Coturnix japonica: one gene and its partner. The protein of the gene in region 1 purifies or fractionates together with the protein of each later gene. This does not show direct contact. Links are inferred from orthologs where the notes say so. Each region holds a gene or a part of one and is shown on either strand. Other genes may lie near its edges. The genes, in order: GPC1 and HADHB.

Region 1 (6,449 bases):
TCCGCAGGACACACCAAATGCTTCCTGGCAGGGGAAGAGATGTAGCAGAGAGCAGGGGTGGCTCTCGCTCATATAGAACAGAAAGTACCTCATGTTCCTGCGGCTTCTCCATATGGAAGAAAACACCTGTGATGTTGATTTTCCTTCTCTGCACAAAGGGGGTCAAATCCCAGGGTCCAGGCTGAAGAACTCATTCTTTAGCAGAGATTAATTTTCTATCCTAGATCCTAATACCTTCCCCATCAGTCTGGCAGGAGACTGTCACAGCAGATGGTGTGATGCTGCAGAAAGCTTATTCTGCACATGTTCGTTGTGCTGATATTCATGAGCAAGGAAACCACCAGGTGAGCTGTGCCCAGCAGTTCAGCAGGGCATCAGTAGAACACACCATTCTACACCATCCCATAGCACGCAGTGCCACTCAGCTGCACAATAGGATTTCCTGTGAGCAGGGGTCCACCCAGCCAGGGCACAAATGGGGACCAACATCACTTCAAACGTGTATTCAGTCCCTTGTCTGTGCAAAGCAGTAGGAGTTGGCAGAAAGGCCCCAGATGCCTTCCATGAGGTCCTGCAGACACTGTGCAGAGGCAGTAGGTCCACAGTGGAAGCACAATGTTAACAAGGATGGCCTGATCCTGAGTCCACTGCTGTCAATGTAACAGCATGCACAGCCCTCAAAAATATGTTCTCTTTGATACTGCATGGCTAATGTTCAGGTCCTGACTGCTCCCACTGAATGAGCATCCTGGGCAAGTACTACAGAAGGGATAGCACAAATCCACAGAAGATACCAGATCATGCCCATGCAGGGCACAGTCTGTGCTCTGCTCTGTCATATAGGATTTAACAGCATGCACAGTCACACCTAAAGCTAAACATGCCATGTGAGTTGTTATGTTTTCGTGTTCTGTGAAATAGCATCTCCTGTAACATCACAGAGCTTGCAGTTCAACTTTGCTGCCACAGAGGGGTTGCAGTGTCATCTACAAGACTCTATTTTCAGGCAATTACAGTCTGCGGATCCACTAATGCTGTGATAGATATTTAAATCAAAGGCTGCATCCCCAAATTAGTGATAAATTATATTTGATTACTTTCTATAGATATCTTTTGTTTGACCTGTCCTAATTTGTCCAGCTGAAAGAGAAACGCTGTTGTCACCAAGTCCTTTCCAGCTACATGGAAGGGCCTAAAGGTAAAACACGGGCAATGCCAAGGAAATTCTGCCTTTTCCTGCATGTTTTGCTCCAGTCCTTGATCAAATGATGACCTCTGGCAGTAAAACATACAGCCACAATTTAAAGGAAGCTACAGTTTCCTCCCAGCCAACACCTCCTGACAAGACCAGTGTCTCTTGGCCAAGAGGAGCTCTCAATAACTGCAGAATGCAGTCCTGTCAAGTTGTGAGAGCGGTGTGCTGACCTTTCAGAAGCCGGACAGTCACCCTGGTCAGGGGAGCAGTGACAGCTAACAGTTGGCTTCCTGTGCTCAGAGAGGACAAAGCTTCATCAAAACCCCGGTGTAAACCCTTGGGGAAGGGAATATTCCTCCCCCTCTTGATTCCTCCCCCTCTTCCGTAGCAGGCCGCCGATGGGAAGTACATCCAATTAGCCACAGCACACTGCCACTCGGTTCGTTAGCTCCTGGCAAGAGGCAGGCAGCTGGCCAATGCACCCACAGAACACCGGCCTGAATGCAGCAGTAGTATCCTTATTTGGCAGCATCCCCTGAGATGGAGGTTACACTGCAGTGGGGTTTTTGATGTTAGCACTCCAACCTAAATGTACAACCTGGGTATACAAAGAGGAGTGAGAGCTTTCCTAACATGAGCAGCCTCCCCCAGCAGACTGCAGTAGGAGAGAGGCTGTGCTGTAATGCTGTCACACTATAGAAGGTCTCTGCTCTGCGTTGCAGAGGGTATCAGACCACGTCAAGGAAATGGATACCTTAACACACACACAGCTCACTTCAAGAAGTACCCACTGTCTTAGCTGAGTGAAAAAACAAAAGAGCTCTTTTCTCACTTAAAATACAAGTCTAATTTTCCCATTCCTCATGTAGGCTGCAACTTCTCCCTCCCATGTATTTACTTTCCATTCAGAAGTGAGCAATTCTGATCCCTTTGCTCTCACCCACGGAAAAAGATTACAGCTTCATGTTTCTAGATCACATCCCAGGGAGGGCTGCCAGGGATTCCCATGTGCTCACATATGCCATGGCGTAGATGAGGAAGCAGAACCTGTCCCTAAGCCTCAGCCTTTGGGAGAAGACAGATGACCCAAATGGTATTAAAGCCCAGAAAAACATCCTGCAATATATTTAGATTTAGTGTTCAGATCACAGGCAGAGAAACAGTGGTGTAAAAGAGGCTCCTTCAGCTCTTCCAGGGGCCCCTTCTGTACTCTCCAAAGGCCTCAAAGAGTCTGAAAAGGTGCCACGGGGCAGTGAGGAGTGAGGCCACCTTACCCATCAGATACTTCCACTCGGTGTTCAGGTCAGCTTGGTTGGCCAGGCAGCCCTTGACCACGTTCAGGCAGTAGTTGCTGCATGGCTTCACGCTGGCCATGCCCCGGCAGTGCGGGCAGTACATCAGCTTCATGACAGCACGGGTGCACTCGTGGCTGAGGGACACCTGGGGAGACGGAGCAGAGTCAGAAACATGGGCAGGCGGTGTGTCAACTTAAACCAAACCATCCCATGAGGCAGAACCCAGGGCTCCCAGCAAGGCCCCAGCCTCTGCAGCACAGAGGTCCCTGTAACACATCCAATAGGCCCCGTGGAGGTGCTGATGGAGCTCGCTGCTCCCCTGTCTTATCACTAAGAGCTTCCCCTATCTTTGCTTGCACCCAGTTCCAATTCTCTAATCATTCTTTTAAAATCATTTACAAAAAGAAATTATCAAGTGTCTGCATGCCAGCCTTGCTTAGGGACAAGGAGCTGTTACTCCCCCAGGGGGGAACAAACTGGGAGGTCCGAATGCTTGACCCTCATGCTGCAGCCCTGAAAGCTGCCCCTCATCTCTTTACTGGTTGTGAAAAACACCTTGAATATGTTCTTGTACATTTCTTCTGTGGGACAAAGAAATGCTCAATATAAAGATTCACTTCTGGCCTTGAGACAGCAAATCCCTCAGACACGGCCACACACAGCCCTGCCCAGTGGGTGTCCTTCAGTCCTTGCTGAAGTGAACACTTCACGCTTACCAAACATGGCACAGACTGGAACACGGGTACTGGAGCTCACCTTACAAAGATGCAATTTTCAGCTGCATCGTCTGTGCAATGACCTTGATTCCCTATGTTGACATGTTCTCCTTTAGCTTTAATGGCACCTATAGTCCTGCCTTAGCTCAGTGACATAGAAATTGCATAAAGATGTCAAGAAGAAATGCATGATACATCGGAGAAGCCGTTTACCCGGGACCCAAAAAAAGAAAGTTACTGAGTGATATGGCTCGGAGCCAGGACACTCCTCATTCAGCTGCCAGAGGTACAAATAAGCATGCCAAACAAAGCCACGCTCAACCTAAAAATACATGATTTCTATGTCACTGCTCAGTTAAAATCTGCATGCTCTGTTCTGATCCCAGCAACATCAGTGGGAGCAGCCCCTGAAAGTGCAAACCCAGTGACAAAGTGATATAGAAAAAATGTTACCTTCTAAAAAATACCCCAAATGGGGGATGATTCGGTCTTGAGCAATGAATCATTTTAATTAAAGCTACTTTACAGCTGGAGATACAGTGGCTGATTGGAGTTGCAATGAGGTAACGTAACGGGAACAGGTGGCTGCAGCACACAAAGCCCCGCGCCACCACCGGCACCGACACTGCAAGGAGGCTGTCATCAGGTATTACCCCGTGACTGCGCTGTGCATCAACAGCAGAGCTCTGTGCTTTTCCATGGCTGCTTTCCAAAGCCCGATGTGCCCATGCACGGCTGATGAAGCCACCCAGCCAGCTGCCAATTGCTGGAGGCAGAGCAGAAAACAGCCTCCTGTGTGAATGTCTGGAGCAGGAGGGGAGCTTGTGGGTCCGCAGGGATTGGGGCACCGCAGCGCAGTGCTGGGACTCACTGTGTACTGTGCGGTACTGGCGGCTGCAGAGGGGCCAGCAGGGAATGAGCGCACGTGGAGATAATACGAGAGAGAGCTGAGAACACACGTAGTTCTCGGCTTTCAAACTGGCGTTTGTTTCCCTCAATTTTCCCCCTCCTGAGCAATGTTTAAATCAATTACAGTAAAATTAATGACTTTTGCAAGCGATCTGCTGAGAGGATAGGCTGGGGATTAGTCCCAAGCTGGGTTCCTTGCAACCACCCCAGACAATTTAGAAAACATTCAGCCTACGAGGCTTCTAACCAAGAAGTCTCCTGCCAAGCAGCTTATTAATACACTTCCAAAACAGAGAGCCACAGAAATGCAGGTGTTGAGGGACAAACAGTCACCCATTCTGACTGCCTGCACTGAGATGTGCGGGGAGAACAAAGCCATCCCACTGCCTAAAACGTGAGTTCAGAATGAACTTCTGAAATGAAGACACAGGGGAGGCAGAGCTGCTCGTGGAATGGGAAAAGCAACTCAGGCACACAAGGATGTCCTGGCTGGACACTTGGGGACTGAAGGCACCTGAGTGTAGACATGGCGGGGGCCCCAGTCTCCATAGGGCAAGCCAATTACTTCTGACAGAATTGGCTGGAAAGACCAAATAACTAAAAGTTTGGGATGTAAAAACCATGGTTATGGGGACTAGTGACAAAAAGGCACCAGTACTGCAACAAGCTCTGCATCATCACATCCAGGGGGTTGAGGGTTTCTCTGATGAAACAACAGCCCCCCTCCCCTTCTCAGTGTCTCAGCTCTGAAGGAAGGCTGAGCTGTAGGAAGCCACAGGCATCCGGCAAAGCAGCACCAAACTGCTATGGGGCAGTTTATGTGCAGCAAGTCCATCCCCACAGCACAGCTGTGTGAGCCCACTTGGAGGTCCTTGGCTGCTCAGCACCCACACCCTGCAGCCAAACTGCAGATGCTGCTTTTGAAATGTTGGCTTAGATCAAGGGAAAGGAAAAAAACAAAAAAACACTCCACCCAAATCCTTTATCCTTTTGAAGCCTTGCTTGAAAGCAAATGAGAACCTGCAGCCTAGCTGCAATGTGATGGGGCTCCTCTGCCTTCAGGGGCCTTTAAGTGCATCTGAAAAGCATTTAACACCAATAGAGCAAGTGGAGCTCTCCATGCTCTGTTCATATCCCTACTTCTCTTGCACGCTCATCCCCAGGCTGCTGTGAGCCATCTGTGCTTCATGCCCCCAGGAGCCAGGGGAGGTACACAGAGGGCTCTCAGAGGAGGAAGAGGCCGGCTGGTGGAAGGGGAAGGCCAGGCCTGCCCATAAAGCCTGTGGCCAAGGAACTGTAGTTGTGTGAGCTGCCTCTGCTCTGGAGTTCCCCACCAGGTCCCTGCTCTGAGCAGCTCATGCTCTGCCTCTTGCCCGTCCCTCTGGCTGGCACAAGGACAGCAGGGCACTGCAGCACCTGGGTGCTGCCTGACAGCATGCAGGGATGCCTGAGGAGAGGACAAAATGCCTGTGCCAAACGTACGTCAGATTGGGCCTGCATATATTCACAGGTATATCTTTCCACTCTGAATGTCCACTGTCTGGATGGCCATTTTAAGCGCCAGCATCACCAGTTAAACCAGCACTGTCACACAGCTCACATTTCCAAGCAAACTGATGCTTACTTACAGCCTGCAGGTCATGGGCAGCTCTGTGCATTGCTGCTGTGAGAAAACACAGCAGATCTGCACCTTTTATTTTCACATTTCATCTTCATGGTCTCTCCAAAGAAGGATCCTCAGAGCGCTGTGATCAAAGGAACAGGGGTGCTGTGATTTCCATCCCTAAGTGTGAGCTGCACATCATGGGCCTGGCTGCTTCAAGCACGGATGGGGCTGTGAGTGCCCGGACCATGTGGCCAGCAGCTGCCTCGTGCACATTTGTGCCAGTCCTGCTGCAATTAGCACCTTGGTGTGTGTTAAACAAACCACGACTTCCCATCTTCCCAAGTAAAACTCTTAAAAGAAACAGCTGCAGGGCTGATGGAAATACGATGCTTTCAAAGACTAATGAATTGTATAATCACCGCAGTCATTATTTTGCAGCTCCCTTATAGAAATGCACAGCAGTGAGTCCATGGAGCACAGTGGGTTTTAAGCCTCACCAAGCCCATCATTCAAGATGCATCAGCCATGTTTCCAAAGCCTCTTTTGAGGGACCTGATAGCAAACCGTGGCTTCTGGATGCAGCATCAGGCACAGATGACCTGCAGCCAGCAGCTCTCCTGCTTCTTCCTCACTGCACTCAGCTCAGTGCAGGATGAGGCACAGAGGACAAAGGCTGGTGCCAATGATGTGTCCTTCGTGCTCCAGTGGTCCAGAGCCAGTGCTAAGCC
Region 2 (7,129 bases), on another chromosome or scaffold:
CCTCACAAACCCCCTCCATTGACACCTTTAAATGTGAATACACCTACAGCCCCTTCACAACACCATCCCTACAACCCTTTAACCCAAATAAACCCCCTCCAATGACACCTTTATATATGGATACACCTACACCCTTCACAACACCATCCCTACGACCCTTTACCCCTCACAAACCCACCATTGACACCTTTCTATATGGATACACCCACAGCCCCTTCACAACACCATCCCTACGACCCATTACCCCACATAAACCCCCTCCATTGACACCTTTATACATGAATACACCTACAGCCCCTTCACAACACCTTTGTGTTTTGTTGTAAAGGGTCCTTATGACCCTTTACCCCTCACAAACCCCCTCCAATGACACCTTTATATATGGATACACCTACAGCCCCTTCACAACACCATCCTTACAACACTTTACCCCTCACAAACCCCCTCCATTAACACCTTTGTATATGAATACACCTACAGCCCCTTCACAACACCATCCCTACGACCCTTTACCCCACATAAACCCCCTACATTAACACCTTTATATATGGATACACCTACAGCCCCTTCACAACACCATCCCTACGACCCATTACCCCACATAAACCCCCTCCATTGACACCTTTATAAACGGATACAACTACAGTCCCTTCACAACACCATCCTTATGACCCTTTACCCTTCACAAACCCCCTCCAATGACACCTTTATACATGAATACACCTACAGCCCCTTCATAACACCACCCCTACTACCCTTTACCCCACATAAACCCCCTCCAATGACACCTTTATATGTGGATACACCTACAGCTCCTTCACAACACCATCCCTACGACCCTTTACCCCTCACAAACCCCCCACCATTAACACGTTTATATATGGATATACCTACAGGCTTCACAACACCATCCCTATGGCACTTTACCTTTCACAAACCCCCTCCAATGACACCTTTATATATGGATACACCTACAGCCCCATCACAACACCATTTCTACGACCCTTTACCCCTCACAAACCCCCCTTTATTAACACCTTTATATATGGATACACCTATAGCCCCTTCACAACACCATCCCTACGACCCTTTACCCCTCACAAACCCCCCTTTATTAACACCTTTATATATGGATACACCTACAGCCCCTTCATAACACCATCCCTACAACCCTTTACCCTTCACAAACCCCCTCCATTGACACCTTTATATGCGGATACAACTACAGCCCCTTCACAACACCATCCCTACGACCCTTTACCCCACATAAACCCCCTTTATATGTGGATACACTTACAGCCCCTTCACAACACCATCCTTACAACACTTTACCCCTCACAAACCCCCTCCATTAACACCTTTGTATATGGATACACCTACAGCCCCTTCACAACACCATCCCTACGACCCTTTACCCCACATAAACCCCCTCCATTAACACCTTTATATGTGAATACACCTACAGCCCCTTCACAACACCATCCCTACGACCCCTTACCCCTCACAAACCCCCCACCATTAACACCTTTAGATATGGATACACCTACAGCCCCTTCACAACAGCATCCCTAAAACCCTTTACCCTTCACAAACCCCCTCCAATGACACCTTTATATATGGATACACCTACAGCCTCTTCACAACACCATCCCTACAACCCTTTACCCCTCACAAACCCCCTTTATTAACACCTTTATATACAAATACACCTACAGCCCCTTCACAACACCATCCCTACAACCCTTTACCCCTCACAAACCCCCCACCATTAACACGTTTATATATAACCTACAGGCTTCACAACATCATCCCTATGTCACTTTACCCTTCACAAACCCCCTCCAATGACACCTTTATATAGGGATACACCTACAGTCCCTTCACAACACCATCCTTATGACCCTTTACCCCTCACAAACCCCCTTCAATAACACCTTTATATATGGATACACCTACAGCCCCTTCACAACACCATCCCTACGACCCTTTACCCCACATATACCCCCTCTATTGACACCTTTATACGTGGATACACCCACAGCTCCTTCACAACACCATCCCTACGACCCTTTACCCCTCACAAACCCCCTTTATTAACACCTTTATATATGAATACACCTACAGCCCCTTCACAAACCCCCTTATAAGCCCTCCACACCCCCCCCACATCCACCCACCCGTCATTTCAGCACTGCCCCCCACCTCACCGACCCCATTACCACACCAGGCTCCCCCCCACCCATATCTCACCCTCAGCTCCCTGTCGACGAGGCGGGTAATACTTGGTAGCGGCCGCGAAGCGCCCCAAGCTGCCCATAGCGCGCACTGCGGCCGCCATCTTGTTGCGCGCGAGGTCGAATGAGGGAGAGGCCGCCAAGGGAGGGGGGGCTTCGATCCGCCCTTGAGGCTGTCTACACTAGTGCCTGTCTCCGAGCACGATTTGGTTTTGATTCCCTCTCTATTTCATATTATCCATAAAGCTTTAGTGGCTGTAGGTGATAATGTAAAGGTGATATCAGTCTAGCGGAGGAAAAGGATGAAAGGGGGTGTGGGTGAGGCAGCCCTGGAGGCGGGGTGGGGGCCTTCATGAGGGCAGGCGGCGGCGCTGAGAGGACGGGGGTGCGCAGGAGGAGGTGGGAGATTGTTGGGTTTATGAGGGAAAATTGCGATTTAATGGGGGAAATAATGGTTTATGTGGGGAAATAGGGGCTTGTGTGGGTTAAACAGCGTGGAATGTGGGGGGGATTGGGATTAGTTGGCTTTTATGGGCATTTTGGGGGGGGGGTTATTTGGGGGTGAGGCCTAGGAGGGGTAAGGAAGTGATGTGTGTGGTGTTATATGTGTGTATATATGGGGGTGTAGGGGCTGCTATGCAAGCAAAGCAGGTTCTGGGTCTCTATGGGCATTGAGGTGTTTTATTGGGGTCCCTGAGGGTTCCTGGGAGGGAAAAAAGGGAAAAAAAAGAATAAAATAAGGTTTTTATGCGTTTGAGGCAATGAAATCCATGGGTGCTGTGCTTGCGTTGGGTTGGGTATGTGAGAACTGCTCTGGGATATCGGCAGAGGTATGAGGGAAGAGAGGGGAGGCAGAGAGGGAGAGAGAAGATAGATAGAGACAAGAGATAGATAGGATAGAGAAGGGAGGAGGTTTGGTTTATGGGGTCTTTATCTGTGTGAGGAGCTTGATATTGGTTTGTAGGATGCTGCTATAGCCAGAGAGAGTCATAGAACCTTTTAAATTGGAAGGGACCTTTAAAGAGAAGCGCTGAGTGGGATATTCTGCTTATTGTGTGGATGCCCAATGAGGGTTATTGGGGTTAAAGTTAAAGGCCGTGGTGTGAAATGGTGCCAAGGTGAGTGCGTCAGGAGGATCACACTGGTGGTGACGTTGGCTGGGCTCCGGGACGGTATTTCAAGGGGGAAGTGGTGGGATAGTTATTGAGGGGGGAAGCTAAAACTACCAGCTGCTGACAGATCAGAGCTGGGTCCTCCTGGAGATAAGTGTTAATTTACAGGGGTATTAGCAGGCCGCAGTCACAAGCCAGTCACTTCATCTGTTAGATGCTGTAACAGAAAGTAATCTCTGCTGCTCTTGGATCAGCTTCTGTTTCTTCCCTTTCTTTGGCTCTTGTGTGAAGCGAGCAGGTTATTTCCCTTGAAATTAATCCAGATAGGTCAGAGTGGATTATTAACAACCTTTTTCCACTTCTAGATATCAAAATGACTTCTATGCTGAGCCATACCGTCCGAAACCTCCCTGCTTCTTCAGCATGGGCCATCAGGGTCTGTAAGTATGTTTACATTTATCAGAACCTTGACGTGTCAGGTTGTTACCTGTGTTTAGGTTGGATGTTAGGGGGAAGTTCTTCACTAGGAGAGTGGTTAGGCCCTGGAACAGGCTGCACAGGGAGGTTGTGGATGCCCCGTTCTTGGAGGTGTTCAAGACCAGGTTGGACGGGGCCCTGGGCAACCTGATCTATGGGGTCTCTATGGGGATCTATGGGGTCTCCTGGGCAACCTGATCTAGTAAAGGTGTATGTTTGGTGGCCCTGCCAGGCAGGGGGGTTGGAACTACATTGCCCAATCCTTGAGGTCCCTTCCAACCCGGGTCATTCTGTGATTCTGTTACGTTCAGAAAGCAGAAATGTTTTTGGCACTTAAGATTTGGCTGATCCTTTTCCTCCTTCTTTTGTTTTCCAGTTGCTCGATCTCTCAGCTGCTCTTCACAGTTACAAGCTCCAGGTAAAGTGAAAATACCAGAGATCCCATTGGATCTGTGCTAGAAGGCTGTGCTACCCTTTTTGAAGCACAGATCTCAGATACGCAGTGCAGACAGCTGTAAATCACAGGTGCCCATCTAAAATTGCAAAGAAATAAAACTCCAAGCAAAGCACCGTGGTGGAATGCTACAAACACCTTAATGCCTCTCAACCCCAAATGCTGTACCCATCCTAGAGCTCACAGCACATCCTCACCTGATTTTCTAGGCTGAGAAGCTAAGCTAGGAAGTTACAAACTGGATATAATCAGGCCTTTTTCCCTGGAGAAGAGGGAATTGTCCTCGACTAGGAGGAGATTGTGGAGTTAGCTCTGAAGTCCAGTGAGACTCAGGTCCCAGCAGAGCTGTTGAGAGCACACTGTTACAGGGATTATTAGCTGTGGTTCTCACAGAGCAGTTGGGTACTGTAGGGCTCTAATATTGATTGTGTGCTTTCTCAAGTGACTAATGCTTTGAGCTGCCTGGATTTGGGAAGAGAACCTAAGTGGTAACTTCCCTTTACCCCCTTGGTTTTGCACAGAGAGCCTTGTAGAACAAACAACACATGAACATGCTGGAGTTGCATACCTGCGTGTTTACTCAGCATGCTATATAGCCAGATTTAATCTGGTTTTGTCCTTTCATGGTTTGCAAATGGAGTTACCCCATGCTGCTGTATATGCTCATTATGATTTGCGCGTCTGAGTAGGTTAGGGAATTCTTGTTAACTCTGTTTATTCTCATTCCAAAAGAGCTCTGGTGGCTTGTTGAATGGTGCTGTATTGTGACACTGCTTTATCTTGATCCTGAAATAATTGGATACCTTAAAGTAACAAGTTACCTGCAGCAACCATATACATCTTTTCTCCTGCTCTGCTTTGTGCAAGTTAGTTGTTTATTGAACTGTATATTGATTTATCATGAGTTATCTCACCTTTACTGTGCAGTGAGAGCACAGATATAAGTAGTTACTTTGCAAGGTGGATCGTCAGCTGTTTCTTATAGAGAGACTGTGAGATCTAACACTGTGTGAGGTTTAACTCTGGCTGCAGGGCTTTCAATTTGTCCTACTTCATTACTGTAAGCTGTGCACCATTTTTAGTTGCATCTGCTCCTGCTCTCACCAGTGTTCATGGAGACTAGGAGCTGCAAGCATTATTCTCAGCAGTGCTGTTGCCTCAGCACTACAAATCTCTGTGTTAATAGGGGAAATAGTGAGTTGTTAAACTGTTTTTATACATCACCTGATTAACCAGAGACAAGATAACAACATGGGTGTTCTCCCTGCAACGCTATTGACTTACGCACCAAAAGAGAACATCTTCCCTAGTTTTCTCCTAGTTCTAACAGCTCTAAGCTTGCTTGTTAATAGTTAAGTATGCTTCCCTTTCAGCTGTTCAGCCTAAGAGCAAGAAGACCTTAGCCAAAAGTGGTGTGAAGAATATTGTTGTGGTGGAGGGCGTCCGTATTCCGTTCTTGCAGTCTGGCACCTCGTAAGTATAGCATGAGGAAACACATGCTCACGTGGTTGGTGGTGGAATCTTTCTGTGGGGAAAGAATGGGCTTGCTTGTTCATGTAGTTATTTCTTTAATGCCTCTAGTGCTATATTGTGCAGCTGATGTCTGCTTATGGTGTTTGGGTGAAGTCATTTTCTATGGCTTTCTGTCACTTAAATTTTTGCCTTTCTTTTTTGACTTCCAGCTACGCAGATCTTATGCCCCATGACTTAGCCCGAGCAGCACTGCAGTAAGTAAACTGAATTTCCTTTTCATTTGGTCCTTGTAGTGCATTAAACTATGAATCCCACTATTCTTAACCACTGCCTACAATGGGGTTTCCTGTGTTGGTATATTTGCCACAATGTTTGGACAAGTTATGCAGTGTTTTCTTAATGAACTGTGGAAACAGACTGCTCGTTTTCTATGTCTCTTTATGGGAGCTTTCATGTTCCTACACCAAAGGTTTGTTATCTCTTAAGGCATTCTTCCATTAATTTGATGCTGGAAGAGTCAAATTGGGGAATATAACAACCACTTCTGGAGTGAAATGGGAACTGCTTTCATGAAGTTATGTCACCATTTAACTTCTGTTTATGAGGGTGGATTCTGATAGGACAAGGGAGAATGGTTTTAAACTGAGATGGGAGGTTTAGGTTGGATCTTAAGAGGAAGTTTTTCACCCAGAGGGTGGTGACTCACTGGAACAGGTTGCCCAAGGAGGCTGTGGATGCCCCATCCCTGCAGGCATTCAAGGCCAGGCTGGATGTGGCTCTGGGCTGCCTGGGCTGCTGGTTGGTGACCCTGCACACAGCAGGGGGTTGGAACTGGATGATCATTGTGGTCCTTTCCAACACATTCTATGGCTATTTATAGTAGTGTTATTGCTATGATTTTTTTGCAGTCAATTGCACTTGTCATTAAGTACACATACAAGCAAGATTTCATATGAATTTGTGCAGTAGGTGTAGCTCCACTGTTGCCTTGTTCTTCAGACAAGCTAGTGGAAGGTAGGACCTTGATGGCAGAGGCAAAGTCATTGCTCACATGCTGCAAATTCTACTTGTTTCTGTCTTCTCCTTAGGGGCTTACTGAACAGGACCAGTGTCCCAAAGGATGTTGTTGATTACATTGTGTATGGCACAGTTATCCAGGAAGTGAAAACAAGCAATGTTGCCAGAGAGGTGGGTGATGTACAGCTTATCTCCTATAAGTTAGATTTCAGCAGCTAGTAAGAAGAAGATAAACCCCTTACAGAAAGTTCTGGAACAGTGTGTTTGCAGTATAGGCTATTTGTGCAGTGTTGTCTTATCCAATAACTGCATGGGAATCTGCCATAGATCAAATGCATTCTGATGCTGTGAAGCCTCTGCTC

What was found.
Region 2: the proteins of GPC1 (region 1) and HADHB purify together in Homo sapiens (co-immunoprecipitation; 3 studies listed by BioGRID and IntAct, counting the BioPlex papers as one, with this or other methods). This does not show direct contact. The link is inferred for Coturnix japonica from reciprocal best matches to the Homo sapiens genes GPC1 and HADHB.

What each region holds. Positions count from the first base shown.
Region 1 is NC_029524.1:615,918-622,366, reverse strand, and holds part of GPC1 (glypican-1), read right to left. Parts: intron 2,636-6,449; coding exon 2,470-2,635; intron 1-2,469. UniProt on the Homo sapiens protein: Cell surface proteoglycan that bears heparan sulfate. Binds, via the heparan sulfate side chains, alpha-4 (V) collagen and participates in Schwann cell myelination.
Region 2 is NC_029518.1:95,817,845-95,824,973, forward strand, and holds the start of HADHB (trifunctional enzyme subunit beta, mitochondrial), read left to right. Parts: upstream 1-3,244; 5' UTR 3,245-3,300; coding exon 3,301-3,352; intron 3,353-3,370; exon of another isoform or gene 3,371-3,406; intron 3,407-3,531; exon of another isoform or gene 3,532-3,575; intron 3,576-3,711; coding exon 3,712-3,786; intron 3,787-4,199; coding exon 4,200-4,241; intron 4,242-5,650; coding exon 5,651-5,750; intron 5,751-5,959; coding exon 5,960-6,004; intron 6,005-6,838; coding exon 6,839-6,938; intron 6,939-7,129. Other genes in the region: HADHA (trifunctional enzyme subunit alpha, mitochondrial), read right to left, coding at 2,251-2,338. UniProt on the Homo sapiens protein: Mitochondrial trifunctional enzyme catalyzes the last three of the four reactions of the mitochondrial beta-oxidation pathway.